Linked DNA regions of Saccharomyces cerevisiae S288C. The gene in region 1 interacts genetically with each later gene. Each region holds a gene or a part of one and is shown on either strand. Other genes may lie near its edges.

Region 1 (5,886 bases):
GAATTTAGTTTTGAAGAGTGAAAACAACTAAATCAGGCGGTAGAAGAAAATCAATAGCTCATATATTCTTATATATTACAGGTGATATTTGTATATGATTATGAATGGCTTTTCGTAGCCCGTGATCTTTCATTTCTATATTATGTGTAGCTAAAAGGGCCCCTTAAGTACTTGCAGATTGAAAAACTCTATATTGCATTCAAGTTTTCACGAAATACAAAGAAAAGGTCTCGTAGTTATTGCCTTAATAAAGGAATTACTTTTGCTGTAGTCGTATTGAAGCAAGCTTATTTGAAAATTGCGAATAATCACCTCTCATGACGGAACAAAGAACCAAATATGCAGATAGCATATTGACTACTAAGAGTCCTTACGAGGCTACCGAAACTATTAGAATCAGGTTATCGCAGGTCAAATTGTTGAATAAAGACTTTTACCTGTTATTTAAGGAATTGGCAAATCTGAAGAGGAACTATGCTCAGCAATTGAGAAAAATAATAGCTGAAAATGAAGATATAACAAAGATCTTAAACGCTCAAATGATTGAAAGTAATGTTTTGACTCCGCAGGAAATGAGTGCATTCAGATTCAACTCGCTGGGAGAGCTAAGAAATGTATGGGATACTGTAATTGAAGAACTAAAATCAGATTTGAAGTCAAGTACAGAATACTACAACACTTTGGACCAGCAAGTCGTTCGTGAATTGAAGGAATCCGTGGAGAACAATACTAGCTGGAGAGAAAGCAAGGACTTACATTCCAAGCTTAGTAAAAATGCAGCTTCAATTGAGCACTATAGTAAGAATAACGAAAACTCTAGTCACTTAGAAGAGGCAAGAAGGCAATGGGACCAGCAAAGCCCCTATTTGTTTGAGCTGTTCGAGACTATTGACTATAACCGTTTGGACACTTTAAAAAACTGTATGCTTAGATTTCAAACCAGTTTTAGCGATTATTTACTAAATACTACCAAAGAATGCGAAACGGTGATGACGAAATTCCTGGCATTCGAACCGCAAAGTGAAATTGATCGTTTTGCCAAAGATGCCAGTCAATACAACTTCCAACTATCCTCTTCTTCCAAAGAAGTAGTTCCTAATAATGCTTCGCCAGCTTCTGCCACTGGTGCCCGCCCGGTCTCTGTATCCAATGGTGCCGCTAATACGGAAAGAGAAAAGAAATCCCCACAAAAGGATAAGCGTAAGAGTGCATTTGGAAACATTGGACATCGTCTTGCCTCTGCATCTTCCAGTCTCACTCATAATGATCTCATGAATAACGAATTTTCAGACTCTACTAATAATTCTTCCTTGAAATCAAAAAAGTCGTCCCACACCCTAAGATCTAAAGTGGGCTCAATTTTCGGTAGAAATAAGACCAAGAACAAGAGACAACAACAATCATCATCAAACTCTCATATTCAGGCATCCATCACTGAGACTCCGAATAATTCTTCCACCAGAGTGTCTTCAACTGCAACTTCTTCTATTTATCAGAAGCAACGTCGACCCACCTATTCATCATCAAAATCAAACAATTGGACCCCGGGTGAAGCTAGTGACACTCCTCCTCTTCCTCCCCATGCTACTCCTAAAAACGTAGATGCACCTGTTACTGCCGATACACCACCTGCGCAAACTTTTACTCCTTCTGAAGTGCCTCCTTCAACGCCACAACAAAGTTCTCCACCCACTGCGAAAGAACCAGACTCAAGTAACTTACCCAAGACAGTACCGATATCAATTTCTCAACCTCCACTTCAGCCACAATCAAAAACAAAACCATTACCAGTTGAGCCTGCCTCTCCCAGTATTTCACTTCCTACTGCTACGGTTGATAACCAACCTTCAGGTCAAGTTGATTCAAGGCCCTTGCATATCCGCGCACCTGCTTTACCACCCTCAAGGAAACAAAATTTCATTCATAACAGGGATTCTCAACTCTATGACTCTTTGCCTAATCACGGCTCAGGCGCTACCCCTACTTCTTCTTCCTTGTCCTCTATTCCCCAGGAACGTCCAGTTTCCACACTCTCCTCTCAGATTACTGGCGAGCTAAGAGAACTAAATCCTCAAGCCACGGGCTCTTCAACATCTTTAGTTGGTCAATCGTTGTTTCAGCACTCCTCTTTAGATACATCTCAATTTGGGTTGAATGCTAGTATCGCAGAAGTGCTCAATGCTTCTTTCAAAGACGGTATGTTGCAGAACTCCCAACTGATTGGGGAAATTGCCCTCAACTATTTACCCAATTCTGTCATGAATTCGCCTTTACCTATCGGTATTAATTTGAGAATCAATAATGGCGCTAAGTTCGAAAAGGTCATTCTGAACCAAGCCTTTATTGAGCGTGTTGCTCCAGAAGAATTCAAAGTTAACCCTTCATTTATCGATTCTAGAACCTTAGGAGCTATTAAATATTCCATAAAGGAGCCGATCGCGCCTATTGTTATTCATCCGGTCTGGAGATTTGAATCTCACCAGGCAAGTGTTGTATTGACTGTCAAGATGTCACCAAGCTTACCCGATGAAATATCACAAATCGTAATAGAAGACCTCGTTGTCTTTGTGAATATCGATGGTGCTAATGCAACAAGCGCTTTATCAAAACCTCAGGGCTCCTTCAGTAAAGAAAAGAAGAGAATAACGTGGAGATTTAAAGAACCAGTTGTTTTGACAAGAAATGGTGAAGGTCAAAGATTAATCGCCAGATTTATTACAGACGGCCTGGCACATGAATCCGCTAAAGGCGTGATTACCAAATTCACTATCAGTGAGACGGATAACGTGGCTCTACCCCATAGCGGAGCCGGCAGTGGAATCACCTTGACTTGTCAGGAGCTGGATGAAAACAATCCATTTGGTGGTGAGTGGCTCGATGTAAACACAAAAAGAACTTTGACCACTGGTAACTACCATGGTCTCGCTTGATATTTCTGCTATGCTTCTATTTTTCAATATTAATTGTTCTTTTGTTTGCTAATCCATAATTTATGGAGGTGGCGCCGCTAAATCATATTTTCCTTTTGAAACCTTTGTTTAAGACTTACGTAGAACTACACTTATGTACTATAATGTTCTGTAAAGATTCTGTATTTTCGTTCTTTTCTATTCCATTTTTCGGACTTTTAGGACTTTTCATCTAATACTTATTATTTGTGGAGGAGTGCTTAAAAGGCGTTTGCGCCCAGACGAAAAAAAAAAAGCTAACACAGTAGTTGAGAAAGACAAATACCACGAATTTGATAACAAGTCATTTGCTAATTGTGTGTCCTTGACAAATACAAAACAAACAAAAATCCACTAATCCATTGTAATGTTTTTACGTACTCAAGCTCGTTTCTTCCATGCTACTACCAAGAAGATGGACTTCTCGAAAATGTCCATCGTCGGCCGCATTGGCTCTGAATTCACTGAACATACTTCTGCTAATAACAATCGTTATTTGAAATATAGTATCGCTTCGCAACCAAGAAGAGATGGCCAAACCAATTGGTATAATATCACCGTTTTCAATGAACCTCAAATCAATTTTTTGACAGAATATGTTAGAAAAGGGTATGTTATTTATTCTTCAATTTTACTTACTTTACAATTACGCGTTATAATTTACTAACATTTCCTTTCCATAATTTATTCAGCGCTTTGGTATATGTTGAAGCAGATGCTGCTAACTATGTCTTCGAGAGAGACGACGGTTCTAAGGGTACTACTTTGAGCTTAGTTCAAAAGGACATTAATTTATTGAAGAATGGGAAGAAATTAGAAGATGCTGAGGGCCAAGAAAATGCTGCTTCTTCAGAATAATTGTAATATTTACGCTTGCTTATTTCGACTCTTCCTCGATATTTTTTATCTAGAGCATGCTTTCTTTTACTTAAAATATTTATGGCAAATAGGAAAAATACATTTGGAATAACGAACTAGTTATGTAAAACTATGCTTATTCTCAAATAGAATGTATATATACTATAATATATTGGTTAACGTGTGTTATGCAAAATGCTTTTTGATGATGAAATTTAGCAAAAGAGGAGGAAGCTTTAGCGAATTTAACATATCCTTCATTGTTACAAAATTGCCTACACCTCCATTGATCCATGCAGTCCGATTATTGTAGATTTTGAGTAGTCGATCTTGAAAGGCATTTTTGACGAATTACAAGAACTCAGCATCGATCAAATCTTCTACATGCGTATATTGTAAAGGAAGACATCGGCTCTTAAGAGAAATGAGGCGGACCTGTAATTCTGATATAAAAGTATTCCGATTTATTCAAGATTGAGAAGCTGTTTTCAGAATTTTTGATTGGAGAGAGCCTGGGCCTAAGTCATGATGAAGGAATCGAAATCTATCACTCAACATGAGGTTGAGAGAGAATCTGTTTCTTCCAAGCGTGCCATTAAAAAGAGATTACTTCTGTTTAAAATAGACTTGTTTGTGCTATCATTTGTTTGCTTGCAATACTGGATTAATTATGTCGACCGTGTCGGTTTCACCAATGCATATATATCCGGTATGAAGGAAGATCTTAAGATGGTCGGAAACGATTTGACCGTGTCTAACACAGTTTTCATGATTGGTTACATTGTAGGTATGGTCCCCAATAATTTAATGTTATTGTGTGTTCCGCCCAGGATATGGCTAAGTTTTTGTACGTTTGCTTGGGGTTTATTGACCTTGGGAATGTACAAAGTTACATCGTTCAAACATATTTGCGCAATTAGATTCTTTCAAGCCTTATTTGAGAGTTGCACATTTTCAGGAACACATTTTGTTTTGGGTTCGTGGTATAAAGAAGACGAATTGCCCATTAGAAGTGCTATTTTTACAGGTAGCGGTTTGGTGGGATCTATGTTCAGTGGATTTATGCAAACAAGTATCTTTACTCATTTGAATGGGCGGAATGGCTTGGCGGGTTGGAGATGGTTATTCATTATTGATTTTTGTATCACATTACCCATTGCAATTTATGGGTTTATTTTCTTCCCCGGCCTTCCTGATCAAACAAGTGCTGTTAGCAAATTTTCTATGACGAGATACATTTTTAATGAACAAGAGCTACATTATGCTAGGAGAAGGCTCCCCGCTAGGGACGAAAGCACCCGGTTAGACTGGTCGACTATTCCTAGAGTCTTAAAAAGGTGGCACTGGTGGATGTTCTCTCTTGTTTGGGTTCTGGGAGGTGAGAACTTGGGTTTCGCATCTAATTCTACATTTGCATTATGGTTACAAAACCAAAAATATACGTTGGCGCAAAGAAATAATTATCCTTCGGGGATATTTGCCGTAGGTATAGTTTCTACGCTTTGTTCTGCTGTATATATGAGTAAGATCCCAAGAGCTAGGCATTGGCATGTTTCTGTTTTCATATCATTGGTAATGGTTATTGTTGCGGTACTAATACGTGCAGACCCACTAAATCCAAAAGTCGTCTTTTCTGCACAGTATCTTGGAGGCGTAGCATACGCTGGACAAGCGGTTTTTTTTTCGTGGGCAAACATTATTTGTCATGCAGATCTTCAAGAACGTGCTATCGTTCTTGCTTCCATGAATATGTTTTCAGGGGCCGTTAACGCATGGTGGTCTATATTATTCTTTGCTTCAGATATGGTGCCCAAGTTTGAGAGAGGTTGCTACGCCCTCTTGGCTACGGCAATATCAAGCGGAATTGTCTCGGTCGTCATACGCTCACTACAGATAAAAGAGAATTTGTCTAAGAAACAGGTTCCTTATATAGATGCTAATGACATGCCCGGAGAAGATGACGATGACGACAACCAGGATAATGAAAATGATGGCGACGACGAGAGTATGGAAGTTGAACTTCATAATGAGGAAATGGCCGAAATTTCAAATCCTTTCCGATAGATACATTCGATTCTTT
Region 2 (5,784 bases), on another chromosome or scaffold:
ATGCAGCCAAGACACCCTCACATAGCACTGCCTCCTTCCTCCTCTTTTCTGTCACCACCTCACCTCCCTCGTCCACTCAACTGAGTGGCTTTTCGCTCCTTTTATACTGCGCCATGAGTAGTTTTCGTTTCACTGATGTGTCCGAAAAAATTGAGGTTTCATAAAAAAATTCGTGGACTTATTTATGGAGAAACAGGGAAATCCGACTACTTAAGAAAAGGGTGTCAAAGAGGATTTACTTTTTTCCTTCTTTTTGCATTTGTTCCTATTTCCGCAATTGGACGGTTATTAAGAAGAACGCAATTGGCTTTTCTGTATATTAAAATACATAGCGTAATAAAAAGATAAGGTGAACACCAAGCATATAGTATAATATTACCTACCACATATGAAACTGAAAACTGTAAGATCTGCGGTCCTTTCGTCACTCTTTGCATCGCAGGTTCTCGGTAAGATAATACCAGCAGCAAACAAGCGCGACGACGACTCGAATTCCAAGTTCGTCAAGTTGCCCTTTCATAAGCTTTACGGGGACTCGCTAGAAAATGTGGGAAGCGACAAAAAACCGGAAGTACGCCTATTGAAGAGGGCTGACGGTTATGAAGAAATTATAATTACCAACCAGCAAAGTTTCTATTCGGTGGACTTGGAAGTGGGCACGCCACCACAGAACGTAACGGTCCTGGTGGACACAGGCTCCTCTGATCTATGGATTATGGGCTCGGATAATCCATACTGTTCTTCGAACAGTATGGGTAGTAGCCGGAGACGTGTTATTGACAAACGTGATGATTCGTCAAGCGGCGGATCTTTGATTAATGATATAAACCCATTTGGCTGGTTGACGGGAACGGGCAGTGCCATTGGCCCCACTGCTACGGGCTTAGGAGGCGGTTCAGGTACGGCAACTCAATCCGTGCCTGCTTCGGAAGCCACCATGGACTGTCAACAATACGGGACATTTTCCACTTCGGGCTCTTCTACATTTAGATCAAACAACACCTATTTCAGTATTAGCTACGGTGATGGGACTTTTGCCTCCGGTACTTTTGGTACGGATGTTTTGGATTTAAGCGACTTGAACGTTACCGGGTTGTCTTTTGCCGTTGCCAATGAAACGAATTCTACTATGGGTGTGTTAGGTATTGGTTTGCCCGAATTAGAAGTCACTTATTCTGGCTCTACTGCGTCTCATAGTGGAAAAGCTTATAAATACGACAACTTCCCCATTGTATTGAAAAATTCTGGTGCTATCAAAAGCAACACATATTCTTTGTATTTGAACGACTCGGACGCTATGCATGGCACCATTTTGTTCGGAGCCGTGGACCACAGTAAATATACCGGCACCTTATACACAATCCCCATCGTAAACACTCTGAGTGCTAGTGGATTTAGCTCTCCCATTCAATTTGATGTCACTATTAATGGTATCGGTATTAGTGATTCTGGGAGTAGTAACAAGACCTTGACTACCACTAAAATACCTGCTTTGTTGGATTCCGGTACTACTTTGACTTATTTACCTCAAACAGTGGTAAGTATGATCGCTACTGAACTAGGTGCGCAATACTCTTCCAGGATAGGGTATTACGTATTGGACTGTCCATCTGATGATAGTATGGAAATAGTGTTCGATTTTGGTGGTTTTCACATCAATGCACCACTTTCGAGTTTTATCTTGAGTACTGGCACTACATGTCTTTTAGGTATTATCCCAACGAGTGATGACACAGGTACCATTTTGGGTGATTCATTTTTGACTAACGCGTACGTGGTTTATGATTTGGAGAATCTTGAAATATCCATGGCACAAGCTCGCTATAATACCACAAGCGAAAATATCGAAATTATTACATCCTCTGTTCCAAGCGCCGTAAAGGCACCAGGCTATACAAACACTTGGTCCACAAGTGCATCTATTGTTACCGGTGGTAACATATTTACTGTAAATTCCTCACAAACTGCTTCCTTTAGCGGTAACCTGACGACCAGTACTGCATCCGCCACTTCTACATCAAGTAAAAGAAATGTTGGTGATCATATAGTTCCATCTTTACCCCTCACATTAATTTCTCTTCTTTTTGCATTCATCTGAAAACCGTTGCACAAAGTTTAGACATTCACATCTCCAAGCCAGTTGGAGTTTCTGGCGGAAATCGTTGCTCTCGCTTGGGCAAAGTTTTTTTTTATTATTAATTTTTTATTGTTACGTTGGCGGTCTTCATTTTTACTTCACAATAGTTTATCTTACCCACTAAGAATAGGTTACCATTTATTCACATTTTTTTTTCTCATTCCTAGTATACTATTTACCTGGGATATGGCCTATAATCAAAGGCTTTAATATTCTAATAATTCGTTTGGCATCTAGAATAATCTATAAAGTATAGTCTATATACGTACATATTGATAATGGCGGTAGCTGCTGAACTAGTATTTCAAATTACCTTGTTTATCCCAGGTCGCCAGTTTCTCTCTCCTCAAGTGATATTGTGTTCGTATGTCCAGATAATTTTTGATGAACTGATCCAGGTCATCGGCTGAGTCAATGGACCTTGTGGTAGTTTCTAGCTGTGAACTCTCCTCATCAAGTTTCTTTGTGTTTTGTTCTAATTTCTTTTTTAATGCTATGTCACCATATTTTTTTGAAAATTCGGAATGGTAATCTTGCCAGCTAGCTACATATTTGGATTCTAAAATCCTACAGTTTTCTAATAAGGCTTGGACCTTATCTTTTTGCTCATGTAAATCTTCAAAATTTTCTTCCAATTGTTTAAATTGATCTCTGAATGCATGAATCTTTCCAGCAAAGTCCGTTAAGGGATTGAATTTTGTGACGTATAACTCTAATTGGTGTCTGTGGGTTTGAATTAGATCGATTATCTCCTTTGATGATAAAAGGTTAATTCCTTCAGGTAAGGGAATATTTTTGCTTTTTTCGTTTACTTTTTCTGGTAAACCCGGAGATGGTACCACATCCATTTCTGCTCTGATAATATCTAATCTGCTTATATTGAGCCCCTTATTTTTCCTTCGTTGTTTTATCCTTAGTTTTGTAGCCTTTACTTTCATATTTCCTTCTTTTCAGAACGCCTATTCTAGGGAAAAATGGCTTCTGTATGAAATAAAAATGTTAGCAAAAGAGAACGAAAATAAGAACACATACACTATATTTGCCCATTTGAGCGCTATCGAATATGAATGGACTTAGAGTTGCAGCAAAAATTCAGCCAGCACGCCAAACTATCATATTCTTGCATGGATTAGGTGATACAGGTTCGGGATGGGGATTTTTAGCTCAGTATTTACAACAGAGAGACCCTGCCGCTTTCCAGCATACTAATTTTGTTTTTCCTAATGCTCCAGAGCTTCATGTGACAGCAAACGGCGGTGCATTGATGCCTGCTTGGTTTGACATCTTGGAATGGGATCCTAGTTTTTCCAAAGTTGACAGTGACGGTTTTATGAATTCTTTGAATTCCATAGAAAAGACGGTTAAGCAAGAAATTGATAAAGGAATTAAACCGGAGCAGATTATTATCGGAGGTTTCTCTCAGGGTGCCGCATTAGCTCTCGCAACATCAGTTACTTTACCATGGAAAATCGGTGGTATAGTAGCTCTGTCGGGATTTTGTTCCATCCCAGGAATTCTGAAACAACATAAGAATGGCATTAATGTAAAGACACCAATTTTTCATGGGCATGGTGACATGGATCCAGTAGTTCCTATTGGACTAGGTATAAAGGCAAAACAGTTCTATCAAGATAGCTGTGAGATACAAAATTATGAATTTAAAGTATACAAAGGTATGGCCCATTCTACAGTTCCAGATGAATTAGAAGACTTGGCTTCATTTATCAAGAAGAGCTTATCATCATAGCTCTTTTCCTAATATTGCGAGTTCAATTTAACCGCTATTATACTTGGTTAAATAATTTATATACATCCGTAAGACGCGATAGAAAATTAAAAACCTTGGTGCCAAATAGTTGGGGTGATGAGACTCATTGATTATGCAAGTTCATAATAGATAGACAAACTTGAGCTAAAAGTACTCTACTATTGCCAGCATGGACACTTTAGAGCCAACAGCCGTTGATACGCATGTTTCTGCGGAGCAGATTCTGCGGGATGTGTACAAGAAGGGGCAAAAAGCAAGAGGATCGACTAATATTGATATATTAGACTTGGAGGAACTTCGAGAGTATCAACGAAGGAAGAGAACAGAATATGAGGGTTATTTGAAGAGAAACCGACTGGATATGGGACAATGGATTCGTTATGCGCAATTCGAAATCGAACAACACGACATGAGGCGCGCCAGATCTATCTTTGAAAGAGCATTATTAGTAGATAGTTCATTCATCCCCCTTTGGATACGATACATTGATGCTGAGCTGAAAGTCAAATGTATTAACCATGCTAGGAATCTTATGAACAGAGCTATTAGTACGTTGCCCAGAGTAGACAAGTTATGGTACAAGTATCTCATTGTCGAAGAGTCGTTAAACAACGTTGAAATTGTACGATCACTGTACACCAAATGGTGCTCCTTGGAGCCAGGGGTTAATGCATGGAATTCTTTCGTGGATTTTGAAATAAGACAGAAAAACTGGAACGGTGTAAGAGAGATTTACTCAAAATACGTCATGGCTCACCCGCAAATGCAGACATGGCTAAAGTGGGTGAGGTTTGAAAATAGACATGGTAATACTGAATTTACGAGAAGTGTGTATTCTTTAGCGATAGACACAGTAGCTAACCTCCAAAATTTACAGATTTGGTCTGATATGGAGGTTGCAAAATTAGTAAATTCATTTGCTCATTGGGAAGCTGCGCAGCAAGAATACGAAAGATCTAGTGCTCTTTATCAAATTGCTATAGAAAAATGGCCCTCCAATCAATTGCTCAAGGCAGGACTGTTGGATTTTGAAAAGCAGTTTGGTGACATAAACTCAATAGAAGAAACTATTAGCTATAAAAGGAAAATGGAGTATGAAACAATATTGAGTAATAACGCCTATGATTATGACACCTGGTGGCTGTACTTGGATCTCATTTCAGAAAGTTTCCCCAAACAAATAATGCAAACTTTCGAGAAAGCTATTGTGGACAGCCGACCAAAAGAACTATCAAAAAATGTTCAGTGGAAAAGGTATATTTATCTGTGGATGAGATATATATGCTATGTTGAGTTAGAATTGGAAAATTCGCTTTTAGAAGAAGAACTTTTTCAGAGGTTAATTGACGACATCATCCCTCATAAACATTTCACTTTTTCCAAAATATGGCTAATGTATGCTAAATTTCTGATACGACATGATGATGTACCGAAGGCGAGAAAAATTTTGGGTAAAGCAATCGGTTTATGTCCTAAGGCTAAAACTTTCAAAGGATATATCGAGTTGGAAGTGAAGTTGAAGGAATTTGATCGTGTGAGAAAAATATATGAGAAATTTATTGAATTTCAGCCCTCTGATCTACAAATTTGGTCACAATATGGAGAACTAGAAGAAAATTTAGGAGATTGGGATAGAGTAAGAGGTATATATACAATTGCACTAGATGAAAATTCTGATTTCTTAACAAAGGAGGCTAAAATTGTATTACTTCAAAAATACATAACATTTGAGACAGAATCACAAGAATTTGAAAAGGCAAGGAAGCTTTATAGAAGATATTTGGAGCTCAACCAATATTCCCCCCAAAGCTGGATCGAATTCGCCATGTATCAAACTTCAACCCCGACGGAGCAACAACTATTAGATTTAGCAAAACTG

Evidence for each region. A genetic interaction does not mean that the proteins touch.
Region 2: mutations in RIM1 (region 1) and TML25 together harm fitness more than expected from each alone (negative genetic interaction), as found in Saccharomyces cerevisiae (2 studies listed by BioGRID).

The regions. Positions count from the first base shown.
Region 1 is NC_001135.5:170,870-176,755, reverse strand, and holds RIM1 (Rim1p), read left to right. Parts: upstream 1-3,315; coding exon 3,316-3,557; intron 3,558-3,640; coding exon 3,641-3,806; downstream 3,807-5,886. Other genes in the region: SYP1 (Syp1p), read left to right, coding at 318-2,930; FEN2 (Fen2p), read left to right, coding at 4,332-5,870. UniProt on the Saccharomyces cerevisiae protein: This protein binds preferentially and cooperatively to single-stranded DNA (ssDNS). Involved in mitochondrial DNA replication. Stimulates PIF1 helicase activity.
Region 2 is NC_001144.5:382,825-388,608, reverse strand, and holds TML25 (palmitoyl-(protein) hydrolase), read left to right. Parts: upstream 1-3,200; coding exon 3,201-3,884; downstream 3,885-5,784. Other genes in the region: YPS1 (aspartyl protease), read left to right, coding at 389-2,098; ESCRT-I subunit protein SRN2, read right to left, coding at 2,434-3,075; CLF1 (Clf1p), read left to right, coding at 4,075-5,784. UniProt on the Saccharomyces cerevisiae protein: Hydrolyzes fatty acids from S-acylated cysteine residues in proteins with a strong preference for palmitoylated G-alpha proteins over other acyl substrates.